Linked DNA regions of Alligator mississippiensis. Each later gene encodes a partner of the first gene's protein in a complex. Links are inferred from orthologs where the notes say so. Each region holds a gene or a part of one and is shown in the gene's direction. Other genes may lie near its edges.

Region 1 (7,388 bases):
AGTCTGGGGGGGTGTATTGAGTGTAGGCCCCCCTCCTGGGCTGTGCTGGGCTGGGCCTGTGCAGCTTATCCTGGTGGGGAGCAGAGATGCTGGCTTTGCATCAACCTGGGTGGTGCTGGTGGCAGGGACCATCCAGCTGTGAGGCACCTGGGCACAGCTGGGGGGGGAGGCTGGCAGAGCCCCCCTGTGGCCAGCGCAGTCTGGGGGGGCATGGGGCAGCTGTGCGTGGGGCTGGGGCCTGGCCATGGGCGGTGCTCATTATGCAAAGGGGAGGAGCGGGCCTGCATGCTAACGAGCAGTCCTCAGCCGTGGGGATTAGGGCATTTATGTAACGGTCCAGGGATTAGAGGGGCTGCCTAGCGAGGATCCTCCAGCCATGCGGCGTACGGGGTGGGCGGCAGGCTAGGGCGGAGGGGCCATGGGAGCCGCCAGCAGCCAGCCCCAGCCGGCCGCCCCCCGCACCGCGCCGGCATCGTTCACGGTCTGTCCACGGGCAGGGGGTCGCGGGGCTGCGGGTGCAGGGTTAAGCATGGGGGCTGGGGATAGGAGTGGTCAAGTGGCTGCGAGGGGTGGGGGGTTAGGATCCCTGGGGGGGAATGGGGAGTGCCATACAGGGCTGGGTCCGGGTCCCAAGCAGGTCGCAGCAGGTGACCCCTGCTCCGCTGGCTCTGCAGGGCAGTGGTGTGGCGGCCGAGCCTGCCTGGCCCCGCAGCTGGAAGCGTGTCCTGTGCAGCGTGGGGACTGCCGTGTCAGGGCTGGAGCGGGTCCTGGTGGCCAGGCGGCACGAGGGGGCCGAGTCGCCGCGGGGGCCGATCCCCGTGGCTGAGCAGCTGCCCCGGCTGGTGCAGAAGGTGGTGTCGGAGTGGCCGCTGCCGCAGTTTGTGGCCCTCTTCCTCCCCGAGTTCCCCGTGCGGCCCCCCATCCGCCAGCAGCAGCTCAAGGTGCGGGGCCCGCTGGGCTGGGGGCGGTCGCGTGGCCCCCGGGACAGAGCCCGGCCTCAGCCCTGGCCGTCCCAGCCTCCCCACCTCCTCCCGGGCACTCTCCTCTGCCAGCCCCCGGGGGACACGAGCCTGAGCCTCCTCAACCCCTTCCCCGGCTCTGGTTGTGGTGGTTCTGGCCCCGGGGTCTCCTTTCTGCTCCAGGGCTCCGGTCTGCGTGCCCCTGGGCCTGGGCCTGGGAGTGCCATGAAAACATAAGACTTGCCGTGTTCTGGGTCCGGTGCTGGCCCGTCTCCTGCGTGGCGCGGCAGCAGGGTGTGATGCCGAACGGGGCTGAGCAGGGTTTTCCCCTCTGCCTCTCCCTCGCGGCCTGCAGCATTTAAGGTCCAGGGAGCTCCGATGCCGAGGCCGTGCCCCGCGCCCGGTACCTGCCAATGCCCTTTTCCTCCAAGCACACGTCCGGCCCCTTTTTTGAACCCGGCTTAATGGCTTCCAAGCTGTCCTGGCGCCAACCTCCGCCCTCTCCTCCGGCAGGTCCTGGGCTTTGTGGCCAAGGGCTCGTTCGGCACGGTCCTGAAGGTGCTGGACTGCAGGCGGGAGATGGTGGTCGCGGTGAAGGTGAGTGCCCGTCCTGCACCGCCCTGCCTGTGCCCAGGCCGTGCCGCTCCCGCTCACCCCTGCCGTGCCTCTCGCAGGTGGTGCCCAAGGTGGAGGTGCTGCGGCGGGACACCCTGAAGCAGTGCAAGGAGGAAGTCAGCATCCAGGTACCTGCCAGGGCTGGGGGATGTGGGGCAGCCGGCTCCTCTCCCTGGCTCTCAGGCAGGGACTGGTGCCCCACATCAGAGGGGGGCTGGGCAGGGGCTGAGCCCTCCTGCGGGCCCTGCCTATTCCTGCCCACCCTGGCTCGGGTACTCACGGGTCCTTTCCCTCCATTGCCAGCGGCGGGTGCAGCATCCTTTTGTTCACTGCCTCGGGGACAGCTGGCAGGGACAGCGGCACCTCTTCATCAGTGAGTGACCATCTGTTGCTGGCCGGCGGGAGCCGGTCCCCTGCACATGCTCCCCCTGCGCACGTCTCTGCCACACGCTTGCCCCACGCTAAGCCGGCGGCTGCAATCCCTGGATTAGCTGCGCTGCTTGCTGCCCCGCAGATCAGAGGGGCAGGGGCTGCCTCTGCCCCGGGGGAGAGCGGTGCGTGGTGTGGGGGTGACGGGAAGCCGTGTGGGACCTGCTCTGCTCCCGGCTCCCCCAGGGGAAGGGGGGGTCTCTTGGGGGCGGCTGGGCTGCAGCGCGTCTGTTTGCTCGCCCTGCGCAGTGTGCACGTACTGCAGCACCGGGGACCTGCACGCGCTCTGGGCCGCCTCGGGGCACCTGGAGGAAGCCACCGTGCGCCTGTTCGCGGCCGAGCTGATCCTGGTGCTGGGTGAGTGGCCGGCGCCGGGGCGGAGGGAGCTGGTGGGCATTGCCGGGCTGCCCTGGCGATGCTTCCGGGAGCCCCAGCACCGGTGGGGGTTGCTGGGCTCCCACCCTGCTCCAGGCTGGTCTGTGCCTCCTGCTGCCCCCTTGGAGGGGCCGGCCAGACCCCAGGAGCTCCACTGTCCCCTCCAGGTCTCCTGTGGGGGCTGCTCTGGGATGGGCTGGGGAAGCCGTGGGGAGGGGACCGGGCTGCTGATGCTGCGCCTCCCCCCAGGGTACCTCCACGACCTGGGCATCGTGCACCGCGACGTGAAGGTACGATGTGGCCCCGTCCGGCCTTGCCACGTGCCGGTGCCCTGCCATGGGGGTGCTAGCTGCCAGGCTCGGGTGCCTTGGCCCCACTGGCTCCCTCCTCCCTGCTGGCAGGGGCTTCGGGGCACCGGGGCAAGGGACCCTGCCACCTCTTGCGCTTCTCCTGTGTCCTGGGCACGGGAGCGACATAACCCGCCGTCTCCTTCTTGCAGATGGAAAACATCCTCCTGGACGAGCGAGGTAAAGCCCGGTGGGGCGCCCGTCCCGGGGCTGGTCCCCTCCTCTCAACGGAAGCGTATTCGGCTTGGGGCACTGGGCTGGGAGGGGAGGCCCCCTCCTCCACCCACAGCCCCAGGATGGGGCCGGGCCAGGGGTGCGCAGGGTGGGGGCAGCCCGGTGATGCCCCCGCGCCTCCCTGCAGGGCACCTGAAGCTGACGGACTTCGGCCTTTCCCGGCACCTGCCGCGGGGGGAGCGTGCCTACACCATCTGCGGCACGCTGCAGTACATGGGTGAGCTGCGGGGTTGGGGTTGGGGTGAGGGTTGGGGCCGGGGCCCGCGCCCACCCTGACACTTCCTCATCTCCCCGACAGCCCCCGAAGTGCTGAGCGGAGGTCCCTACACTCACGCTGCTGACTGGTGGTCCCTGGGGGTCGTGCTCTTCGCCTTGGCTACGGGACAGGTGAAGGCCGTGCTGCTCCGGGCCCCCAGCCGGGCCCGAGCCCAAGGGGCTCAATGGGGAGAGGGGCCCAGGCGCTGACCCTTCCTCTCCGTGCCCCCAGTTCCCCGTGGCGCCCGAGAGAGACCACGTGGCCATGCTGGCGAGCGTGACCCGGTGCAGCTACGCGATGCCGCCCAGCCTGAGCCGGGCGCTGTCCCTCCTGCTCAGCGAGGTAATGCCCGCTGCCCACCTCCCCATCCCCCAGCGCTGCCCGCGGCCCCTCACGCCCGGCTTCCCCCCCAGCTCCTGTGCCGCACCCCGCTGCAGCGCCCGCACCACCTGCACCACTTCAAGGCCCACCCCTTCTTTCGGGGTGTGACCTTCGACCCCCAGCTGCTGCAGAAGCACCCTGTGGCTGTGGCCGTGGCCGTGCCGCGGGCACCAGAGACCACGCTGGACGCCGCCGTCGCCTTCACGGACTTCGACTGTGACCTCCTGGCCCCCCGCGGCCAGCCCTGGCCAGGCTGAGGGCGCCCTGCGGGGCTGCCCCGCACCGGGCCGCGGCCACCGCCCGACACTCAGGAACCCGCCGCTGCGCCGGACCCGCCACCGGCATCTCAGGGGAGTGGCAGGCGGCACTGCCTGCTGTAGCCCCGTCCTCCTGCCCCGGGGCCTGCGGGGCAGACCAGCAATAAACTTTCTTCTCTGGGGCTGGTGTGTGTGGCTGTGGCTGTGGCTGTGGCAGGGTCAGGGTGGGGGTCTTCCTTGGGGAGTGGGGGCTGCCCCTTGCACCGCCCCCGCGGGTGAAGGGCAGGGCTGCTCCCCTCCGTTGGACTCAGGGGAGGCCGCGGCTGCGGTGGGAGGAGAAGGAGCAATGGGCGCAAGCTGCAGAAGGGTAAACTGAGGTCGGGCGCTCGGCCGCAGCGCTGCGGCTCCGAGCCGGCCCCACCCCCCGGTGGGCGGGGCGACGCGGGGCCCGCCCCCGTGCCGTGACGTTGCACGGCCGCCTCCAATGGGAGCTGCGCGCTATTTTCAAACGCGGGGCGCGGCGCGGCGCGGCGCGCGGGGGCATGCCGGCCACGGACGAGAACCGGGAGCGGGGCCGGGGCCGGGAGCGGGGCCCCTGCAGCCCCGCGCCCCGCGCGCCCCTGCGCGACCTGCCCCGCGGCTCCTCCGCGCTCACCCCGCTGCTCCGCCGCCTGCGCCTGAAGGTGGGGGGCTGCCCCAGGGGTGGGGGGTCCTGGCTGGGGAGGGGCTGCCCCAGGGATGTGGCTGGGGGGGTCCTGGCCGGGGGGGGCCCACGCGGCTGACCGGGGTGTGCCCCCGCAGGACGACTGCGGCACCCCGCGCACGCCGGTGGCCCAGAAGCGGGGGGCGCTGGTCCTGGCCCCCAGCTCCGTGCCCGCGGCGGCCGGCGCCTGGTGGAGGACCAGCACGCCGGACACGTCCGGATCCAGCGCCGAGGGCGAGTCTCCCGGCTGGCCCCGCAGCCCCGCACTGGGGCCGACCTGCCCGCACCCTGGGAGCGCGGCGAGGGGGGACGGCGCGGTGCGGACGGAGCCCCCGGCCCCAGCCTGCAGCCCCCCGCCTGCGCCGCGCTCCTCGGAGGGCTCCGCTCCAGGACACGTCCCCGGGAGCCCCCTGGGGAGCAGCCCCCAGGCCCTGCCATCTGCATCAGGCTCCCCGCAGCCCCCCGGCGGCTCGGATGGCAACGCGGGCACCCCGTCTGCGCCAGGCGGCGACGGCGCCTTCCCCAGCCAGCCCTGCTCCCCGGAGCCGGGAGAGGCGTCCCCTGGGCCTGCCCTCGGGGCAGACGGCGGCGGTGCCTCCCCAGGGTGCTCACTGGAGGAAGCCCCTGCAGCCGCCCCGCCGTCCGGCCAAGGGCCCGGGTCTCCGGTGCTGTGGACCACCCCGCTGGCCTGGCTGGAGAGGAGCGTGGGCACCTCGGCCCTGCTGGAGTCCTGGCGGCAGAGCCTGTCGCTGCCCGCCCTGCAGCACGACGCCGGCACCAGCGTCACCCCGGTCTCGGCCACCTCCGCGGGCACCTCCATGACCCCGCGGGCCCTGCTGGAGCGCGGCACCAACACCTCCGGGGCTGGGCCCCGCGGCGCCAAGGACAGCGCGGCTGAGACCGACTCTCTGCTCTGGCAGTAAGTGCTAGCCCCTGGGTTGGGGATCGAGCCACATCCACCTTCCTGGGGCTCTCTCAGCTCGGGCATTTCTTCCTTCCCCTGTAGCTGTTTCCGAGAGCAGCTGAGCTCGCTGTCCCGGTCGGAGCTGGAGGGGCGGCTGGAGAGCACCCTCATCATCGTGGAGGTCCTCTCGTACCAGCTGCAGGGCTGGCAGCAGAGGCAGGGGTCGGTGCCTGGCGTGGGGCCGGCCGAGCAGCGAGATGCACCCACGCAGACCGACCTTGCCCATCCCGGAGCGGTAAGAGGGCCTGCCCTGGCCACCGGTGCTCGCCCCCGGGTCTCCTGCCCCTCCAAGCGCTGGGCTTCGCACCCGCGGCACGCCCCGGCACCTTCCCCAGAACCCGGGTCTCCCTGGCCAGAGCGGCTGTGATGGGAGTCTGCGTTTGGGCTGCAGAGCCAGTGGCGCGCTGTCTTCGCAGCAAGCCGGGTGGAAGTAACGCGGGCTGGCAGAGCTGCTGGGGCCCCGGGCCCGCTAATCGCATCACGCGCCTGGCTGGGCGCGCGGGGTCAGCGCTGTCCTGGTTACCCTTGCCTGGCCGCACGTGCGCTGCAAGGGGAGAGCACCGTGAGCGGGTGGGGCACTCCTGCAGGGCCGTGCCCGGGGGAAAGTGCCCTGCTGGGTAGGGAGGTGCCCCCTGCCCCTTCCCCCCCAGGCAGCAGCGCTGACGGGGGTGGCATGTCTTCCAGGAGGAGCGGTTTTATCATGACCTGTATCTGGAGTCCCGAGAGCGAGTCCAGACCCTGCAGCGGCAGCGGGAGAGCGAACGGGCCCTGCGGCAGGCCGTCCAGCAGGCCACAGGGGAGATGGTACGTGTCGGGGGGAGGGGAGCAATTGCTGCGGGCAGCGGGGAGTGCGTCAGGGCCTGTTGCCTGTGCCATCTGCACCTGGCACTTCCTGAATGCCCAGGGCCTCCTACCCAGGCTCCTCCAGCACCAGTGTGGGGCTGCCTGGCTCCAGGGAAGGGCGTTGTAGCTCTGGGCAGGCTGGACCCTTTCTGCGGGTCTTCTCTGCGCACACCAGGAACCTCTGCAGCAGGTGCCGCACCTCTGGCCAGTGCCCGCGTCCTAGTAGCAGCCCTGTTGATCTGGTCCCTAAACCTGTGCCTCACGCCTCGGCTTCCTTCCCCAGCGATCCTGGGCCCTGCAGTCGCGGGCTTTCCTGGACTTCGCAGCCACCTCCCTGCAGCATGTGCAGACCGACCGGCGAGCCCTGGGCCAGGAGGTGAGGCCGGGCCGGGTGCGGTGGCACGAGGGCGTTTGCAGCCTCCTGGCTTGGTGCCCGCTCTTGGCTGCTCGCCAGAGTTGCAATGAGTGGGGGGCCCCGGAGCCTTGAAACCTGCAGTAGCCGAGCCCAGGCCCCAGACCGGGGTCTTCCCTCGTTGTCCCCCAGAGGCTGGATCCCCGGGGCTCTGGGCTGAGCTGGGTTCTCTGGGGTCGGGTCCCCCAGGGACGTGGGGTGCGGTCCCCACCAGAGTCCCAGCCCTGCTCCCACCCCTTGGCCCGGAGCTCCCCGTGGCCTGTCGCCCCCAGCTCCGTTCACGCTCCCCTGCTCCCTCCAGTTCTGCCTCCTGGCTGGTAATTTTCCACTGTCTCCAATGCCTTCCTCGGAGGAGAAGGAAAAACTGGCTTTTCCAGTCCCAGGCGCGGCCTTCGCCAGCCCATTGCTGGCCAAGCGCTCGCGCTCCTTGTCACAGCCGGGGCAGGGGCCGCAGCCAGCCCCTGGTCATGCTGCCGTTCCCCCAGAGCCCAGCAGCTGCCCGGATGGCCCCTGTCCACACAGGGCTGCTGGGCCTTGGGGACCGTGTGTAGCCTGTCCGGAGCCCAGGGCTGCTGGGAAGGCTTTGCCATGCCACAGGTACTGCCGCTTCAGA
Region 2 (7,781 bases), on another chromosome or scaffold:
AAGAAACACCACGTTCTTCACACTCCAAACAGATCAAGAGATCCACGATGACCCAGAGGAGGAGGCGACGAGTGCTCGTCATAGGAGACTCCATCCTGAGAGGTACGGAAGGACCCATCTGTCGCCAGGACCCCTCAGCACGAGAGGTATGCTGCCTCCCTGGAGCAAAGATTCGGGATGTGACGGAGGTAATCCAGGCCAGGATCAAGCCCACCAATTATTACCCCATGGTCCTAGTCCATGTGGGTACTAATGATGCGGCCAGGAGAACCCCCGATCACCTGATGGCGGACTACTGTGCTCTGGGTGGCGTGCTGAAGGAGTTCGGTGCCCAGGTGGTTTTCTCTTCCATCCTACCAGTGACCGGACGAGGAAGACGGCAGGAGAACTGCATCAGAGAGACCAACTGGCGGCTTCGGCAGTGGTGTCTCGAGGCAGGCTTCGGCTTCCTGGACAATGACCCGCACATCACGACGAGGGACATGCTCAGCTGGGATGGGCTTCACCTGTCCCCCAAAGGTAAGCGTGTGTTTTCTTCTAGGTTGGCGGATCTCCTCCGGCGGGCTTTAAACTAGGCTCATCGGGGGGAGAGGAGTACGAGGGCAGGGGAAGCTGTGGACCACCAAACCGTGTGGCACCCACAAGGACAGCCCAGCCTGAAGAAGGAGAACATTGGGAACCTGAAAGCCATGGGGAGGCCAGCACTACAGAACAGGTAACAAACAAGAAGGTAAGAAACAATGGGCCCCTTGGGACTCGGAGCGGGGGGGCAGCAAAGGCACCAGTCACAGGGCTCAAGTGCCTATATACTAATGCTAGGAGCATGGGGAACAAGCAGGATGAACTAGCGCTCCTGCTTGCACTAAACACCTATGACTTAGTGGGGCTAACAGAGACCTGGTGGGATTCATCCCATGACTGGGCGGTACATATTGAGGGCTATAGATTGTATAGAAAGGACAGGTCGGGGAAGAAAGGGGGGGCAATACACATCAACCCTCATCAAGACAGAATCCGAGGTTGAGGAAGTAGAAGGATTGTGGGTTAGGCTACATGGGGGGCAAGGAGAAAGGGATTTGGTGGTAGGGGTCTGTTACAGACCCCCACACCAAGGGGAAGAAATAGATGCGGGGCTCCTGAGGCAACTCTCGGAGACCATAAAAGCTAAAGAGGCGGTAGTCATGGGGGACCTAAACTACCCGGACATCTGCTGGGAGATGCAGACAGCAAGGTCCCATCGCTCACGCAGGTTTCTAACTTGTGTACAGGACCTCCACCTGACACAGGAGGTGCATGGTCCCACTAGGGGGAATGCCATACTGGATCTAGTATTGGCAACGGGAGATGACATGATAGGGGACCTCCAGATCGGTAGCTATCTGGGAGACAGTGATCACCTTATAATAGAATTCAACATAAGACGGTGAGTGGGTAAGGTAACTAGTAGGGTGAAAGTGCTAGACTTTAGGAAAGCTGATCTCAATGCACTCAGGCGATTAGTCAAGGAAGCACTGCAGAGTAGGAGTTTTGATGGGATGGGAGCCCAAGAAGGGTGGCTGTGCCTAAAGGAAACGATCCTTCGGGCACAAAGCAAGACGATCCCCGAGCGAGGCAAAAGAGGGAAAGGGGCCGGGAGGCTTCCATGGCTGACCAGAGAAATCCAGGGCAGCCTAAGGGCCAAAAGGGGAGCACATAAAAAGTGGAAACAGGGTGAGATCACTAAAGATGAATATACCTCCTCTGCTCGTGCTTGTAGGGAGGCAGTTAGGCGGGCCAAAGCTACCATGGAGCTGAGGATGGCAACCCAAGTAAAGGACAACAAGAAATTGTTTTTTAGATATATTGGGAGTAAAAGGAAGGCCCAGGGAGGAATAGGACCGCTGCTAAATGGGCAGAAACAATTGGTGACAGATAGGGGGGACAAGGCTGAACTCCTCAACGAGTTCTTTGCCTCAGTGTTCCTAAGTGAGGGGCATGACAAGTCTCTCACTGGGGTTGTAGAGAGGCAGCAGCAAGGCGCCAGACTTCCATACGTAGATCCTGAGGTGGTGCAGAGTCACTTGGAAGAACTGGATGCCTTTAAGTCGGCAGGCCCGGATGGGCTCCATCCGAGGGTGCTGAAGGCACTGGCCGACATCATTGCAGAGCCACTGGCGGGAATATTCGAATGCTCGTGGCGCATGGGCCAAGTCCCGGAGGACTGGAAAAGGGCTAACGTGGTCCCCATTTTCAAAAAGGGGAGGAAGGAGGACCCGGGCAACTATAGGCCGGTCAGTCTCACCTCCATCCTTGGTAAAGTATTTGAAAAAATTATCAAGGCTCACATTTGTGAGAGCCCGGCAGGGCAAATTATGCTGAGGGGAAACCAGCATGGGTTTGTGGCGGGCAGATCGTGCCTGACCAACCTAGTCTCTTTCTATGACCAGGTTACGAAACGCCTGGACACAGGAGGAGGGGTGGATGTCGTATACTTAGACTTCAGGAAGGCCTTTGATACAGTATCCCACCCCATACTGGTGAACAAGTTAAGAGGCTGTGACTTGGATGACTGCACAGTCCGGTGGGTGGCGAATTGGCTAGAGGGTCGCACCCAAAGAGTCGTGGTGGATGGGTCGGTCTCGACCTGGAAGGGTGTGGGCAGTGGGGTCCCGCAGGGTTCGGTCCTTGGACCGATACTCTTTAATGTCTTCATCAGCGACTTGGACGTGGGAGTGAAATGTACTCTGTCCAAGTTTGCAGATGACACAAAGCTATGGGGAGAAGTGGACATGCCGGAGGGCAGGGAACAGCTGCAGGCAGACCTGGATAGGTTGCACAAGTGGGCAGAAAACAACAGGATGCAGTTCAACAAGGAGAAATGCAAAGTGCTGCACCTAGGGAGGAAAAATGTCCAGCACACCTACAGCCTAGGGAATGACCTGCTGGGTGGCACAGAGGTGGAAAGGGATCTTGGAGTCCTGGTGGACTCCAAGATGAACATGAGCCGGCAGTGTGATGAAGCCATCAGAAAAGCCAATGGCACTTTATTGTGCATCAGCAGATGCATGACAAATAGGTCCAGGGAGGTGATACTTCCCCTCTATAGGGCGTTGGTCAGATTGCAGTTGGAGTACTGCGTGCAATTCTGGGCGCCGCACTTCAAGAGGGATGCGGATAACCTGGAGAGGGTCCAGAGAAGGGCAACTCGTATGGTTAAGGGCCTGCAGACCAAGCCCTACGAGGAGAGACTAGAGAAACTGGACCTTTTCAGCCTCCGCAAGAGAAGGTTGAGAGGCGACCTTGTAGCTGCCTATAAGTTCATCACGGGGGCACAGAAGGGAATTGGTGAGGATTTATTCACCAAGGCGCCCCCGGGGGTTACAAGAAACAATGGCCACAAGCTAGTAGAGAGCAGATTTAGACTGGACATAAGGAAGAACTTCTTCACAGTTCGAGTGGCCAAGGTCTGGAACAGGCTCCCAAGGGAGGTGGTGCTCTCCCCTACCCTGGGGGTCTTCAGGAGGAGGTTAGACGAGTATCTAGCTGGGGTCATCTAGACCCAGCACTCTTTCCTGCTTATGCAGGGGGTCGGACTTGATGATCTATTGAGGTCCCTTCCGACCCTAACATCTATGAATCTATGAATCTATGTCTGCCTTTCCTCCCTGCCCCATCCCCACCACAGCCAGAGTGGACCAGTGGGCAAGGGTGAATGCAGGCTCCTTGCTGTGGGCTCAGGGCTCTCCACTCTGCTGCTTTTGCCGAGGGCTGTGCAGCAGCCGCACGTTCCCTGCCCACGCAGCAGCAAGGGGCACAACCCGCAGCACCGTGCTGCTGGGCAGGCAGGGGGTGTGCTGCTGGCATGGGGCTCCCAAGGGAAAGGCTGCAGAGTGGAGAGTCCTGAGCCCACAATGAGCAACTCATATTGGTGCTATACACAAATATGGCGGGGAACACTTGCCCCCCTCCCTCATGCCTTCCCTAGGGCGTGTGCGCAGCAGTGGGGAACTGCACCCCTCCCCCCAGCCTGCACCCTTGGGCGAGCTGCCCGTTCCCCACCTTTGTGTCCCGCGCACTGTCCTGTCTGGGCAGCGCCACCAGCCCCTGCCCTCACCATGGGGGCCTCAATCGGCCTAGACAGCAGACAACCAAACCAATGAATACATGAACAAGCAGGCAGCGCGGGTGCCTGGTGAGAAGGGGCTGTGTTGCCTGTTTTCGGTAGGACAACAACCAGCTACGTCAAAGAACTGCGATCAAGCTCCCCACTGAGGAGCTGTCCCCCCACACAGGGAGACGATGTGCACCAGCGGCAGGCGCCGCCGAAAAAGCCCCGCTGTCCTACACCTGACCAAGGGAACACTAATCCCACCCCCAACTCGAGCTTGGAGTAGGCACCCCTAGGAGGCCCCTTGGCCCGTCCTCCCTGCACTCTGATTGGACGGTGCCCGACAGGCCCCGCCCCGGCTGCGGATCTCTCCCCGTCCGGCCAGGAGGGCCCGCCCCCTCCCGGGGGAGGGCGGGGCCTACGTGGCATCCCGCTCCTGCCCCTTCCTTGTGAGGGCGAGCCTGCCTGGGTGGAGAGAAAGTAGGGCTTCGCTTTCCTCTCTGCGCATGCGCCCACATTCTTCCTCGGGGCTCCCGTCGATGTCTGCGCCTGCGCGCGAGTTTGCTCCTCCCTCCCCGGGGCGGTTGAGGGGCTGTTCCCATTTCAAACGGCCGCGGGAGTTGGGCAGGTGTGTCGGGGCGGCGTTGCCGGGTCCGGCTGCCTCTCTGGCGTGGCTTCATGCGTGTCGCGGTCTCGATCCATGCGGGGTGGGCGTGGGCGGGGGCGGACGCGAGGGGTGAGGCGGACGCGGCCCAGGCCCGGTCACGGTCCACCCTTCACCCCCCCGCGCCTGCAGGCCCCGCGGCGGGGACCTGCCTGGGGGAGGCGGGGCTGGGCATGGGGCGGGAGGGCGGTGGCCGGCGGGGCCTGGCCTGGCCTGGCCTGCAGAGGACAGGAGTCACACCCATGGTCTCCGCAGGCGGCCCATCCGCCCCGCAGCATGGAAGGCGAGCCGTCCCGCATCCCCGTCTACTCCTCCTCGCACGCCAGCGCGCTGCCCCGGGCCGCCCCGGCAGGTGAGTGCGCGCCCATGGCCTCGCCGGGGCCTGCCTGTTTTCCAGCGCGCCTGGGAGCCCCGAGCACGGCGGCCTGTCCCGCAGAGGAGGGGCCCGACAAGGGGCGGAGGGTGCCCCAGGGGCTGGCGGCCTCCTCTGCTGCAGTGACAAGAGTTGGGCTAGGGCTGGTAAAGCTGAGGGTCGGGGTGGGTAAAAATCAACAATTTTAAAAAGAAATAAAAGCGGGATTTAAAAAAAAAATTGAATCTGTTTTTTTGTTAAGATGCTTTTTTTCAAAAAGCACCTATATAAAGACAGTTTTAATTTAAGATAAGTTAAAGCTCACTCTTTCATCTGCCCCTGTGTTTTGGCCAGAGCCCTGGATTAGTGATTTCTCTGAAATTCCAAGATGGCATCATGGAATAGGAATTATAACTTCTAATTGTATACAACTTGAGACGATATAGTCATGTAACCTTCTTAGAAAAGTTTTGTAAATAGGTCACAACAGGCCATGGACTATATTAAGGGCCCAATTTTATGGGGTTCCCAAAGGCTCCTCTATAGATTAGTAAAGATTAAAGAAAACCATACTACCCAGTGGGACTTGGCGCTCAGTCTAGATCCCATTAAGTATCTCTGCGATGGTTAGTTTCAGTTCTCAAACTCTGGATTTGTGTCTCCAGAGATAATATCCTTGATAACAGCAGTATATGGAGACAAGAGATAACAGACCTGATTTGCCTACCAATCAGCCCTTTTGTCTCTCTGCAAGTTTATGTACACAGAGTCAAGCCCTTACCCCTCTCTAAAAGTGCAAAGTTTCAAGAAGTTAAAGGAATAGAAGATATCAAACAACAAGAGTGCACTTTTTGTAGAAAGTGATGATTAAATCGTGGCTTTCTGACCACTGATTTAAATCATGATTTATATCAGTTTGGTTTTAAAACAAATCCACCCTGCTGAAGTTTGCTGGGATAAAGGGCAAAATCCAGGCTGTTGCTTGCAAATAGGTAGGAAAGCAGTGAGAGAGGCTTCCTCTCCTTTTTGTGTCGTTGTGTGACAAGGTATTTAGCAGAACTCGCAGACTTCTTATAATCTGACGAAGCCACGTGGTGAGTGCTCCTGCTGTGGCCTTGAACTTGGCACTTCTGGGTTGTTAACTGTGCGTTTGGCATTTTGTGCCACCCCCAGAAAGGCTTAGACCTGAGAAGCAGCCCAGTGTGTTGATCAATTGTAGCTTGTACAATTTATTCCAGCCCTGATTCCTTCTCTAGCCTGCCTCTGTCACACTGAGCTCACCTGGGCAGAGCTAGGTGGAAGCACAGGGAGTTTGCACTTTCTGGCCCTGTTTTGCTGCTGTCCAAAATGCCAGAAGGGAAAGCAAGTGTTGGATGCAGTTTCAAAGAAGGCTCTGCTTAGGTTTCCTTTTTCCTGTCCAGTGGAGCCCTGGAGAAATCGGCCTACTATTTATTATTTGGTAACGTAGCTGCAATTGGTTCAGCCAATTGGAATTGAGAGAGCGGCGAGGTTTTTTTTGTTTTTGTTTTTTTTTTGTTAGCGGTATCTCTTATTGGACCAACTACAAGGTTGGGGTAGAATTAAAACAAGCTTTTGGCTGAGGTATTCTTCAGATCAGGGGAGGGAAGCATGCATAGCGATGATTGAGAACAATGGGTAGAGCTCTGAAATTGGAGAGGGGAGAAATTCCCAGGGGTAGCACACAAGCACCAGTCAAGCAGACAGATACTGACTCTGCACACTATCTGATTCCTGAAATGGTTCCTGCATGCTATAAGTGATAATGACTACGGCTGTGCAAAGCTTCGGTAGCTGATTCAATTCGCCCGATTTGGGGACCATATCTCCAAATCAAATCAGACGATTTGGCCATAGACTAAACAGCCAGCTGACGGCTGCCTTCAGTTGGTAAGTCTGTTGGGGTTGGGAGGGAAGGGGCTGAGACGAGTTGCCCGGAAGGGGGGGGGGGGGGGGGAGGGGGGCGCAGTATTGGGAGCAGGGGTTCTGCCCTGCTGCCACTTGCCCAGCCGGGGAGGGGGACAGGATGCAGGCGTTGCTCACTCCAGGCGGAAGGGGGCAAGTGGCAGCAGAGCATAGCCCCTGCTCCCAGTGCTGCTGCGCCCACCTCCTGCGCTTCCCTGCAGAAGCTGGCAAGCGGCAGCAAGGCAGAGCCCCTGCTCCCAGTGCTAATTTGGACACGGTAGCGCTGGGAGCAGGGGCTATGCCATGCTGCTGCCCAGAGTAAGCCACACCTGCGTTGCGCTCCCCCTCCCCTTCTCCATAACAGCAGGGCATAGCCCCTGTGGCTCCCCTTGCCAGGACAGGCAGGCACAGAAGCCCCCATGGCTGCCCTGTCTGGCCCCATGCCCAGCCCAGCCTCCTGGCACTTTTTTTTTTAAAGTCCCATACTCACTTGCTGCAGGAGCAGCAATTGGGGCCTCTGGGTACTCATGACGGAGCCCCCCCATTTGGTACCTGCGCGGCAACTGTTGCATTGCGCAAGTGCAGCGCAGCTCAGCGGGGCACTGCACGCTGTCTGGGAGCTGGGGCTGAGCGATGCTGGGCTCTGGCTGACAGGTGGAGCAGCCCCAGCTCTCGGACAGCACACAGCACCCTGCTGAGCTGCACGGCACCTGTGGCATAGGGCAGCTGCTGCATAGGTGCCAAGCAAGCACGAG

What was found.
Region 2: SPAG5 (region 1) and KNSTRN share a complex: the UniProt entries of both Homo sapiens proteins name them as parts of the astrin (SPAG5)-kinastrin (SKAP) complex. The link is inferred for Alligator mississippiensis from reciprocal best matches to the Homo sapiens genes SPAG5 and KNSTRN.

What each region holds. Positions count from the first base shown.
Region 1 is NC_081837.1:1,041,041-1,048,428, reverse strand, and holds the start of SPAG5 (sperm-associated antigen 5), read left to right. Parts: upstream 1-4,380; 5' UTR 4,381-4,395; coding exon 4,396-4,536; intron 4,537-4,654; coding exon 4,655-5,475; intron 5,476-5,562; coding exon 5,563-5,755; intron 5,756-6,204; coding exon 6,205-6,324; intron 6,325-6,646; coding exon 6,647-6,739; intron 6,740-7,388. Other genes in the region: RSKR (ribosomal protein S6 kinase-related protein), read left to right, coding at 419-481, 675-941, 1,473-1,556, 1,634-1,702, 1,878-1,947, 2,253-2,360, 2,628-2,668, 2,878-2,905 and 4 more. UniProt on the Homo sapiens protein: Essential component of the mitotic spindle required for normal chromosome segregation and progression into anaphase. Required for chromosome alignment, normal timing of sister chromatid segregation, and maintenance of spindle pole architecture.
Region 2 is NC_081825.1:241,491,432-241,499,212, reverse strand, and holds the start of KNSTRN (small kinetochore-associated protein), read left to right. Parts: upstream 1-4,772; 5' UTR 4,773-4,787; coding exon 4,788-4,823; intron 4,824-5,006; coding exon 5,007-5,103; intron 5,104-7,781. UniProt on the Homo sapiens protein: Essential component of the mitotic spindle required for faithful chromosome segregation and progression into anaphase.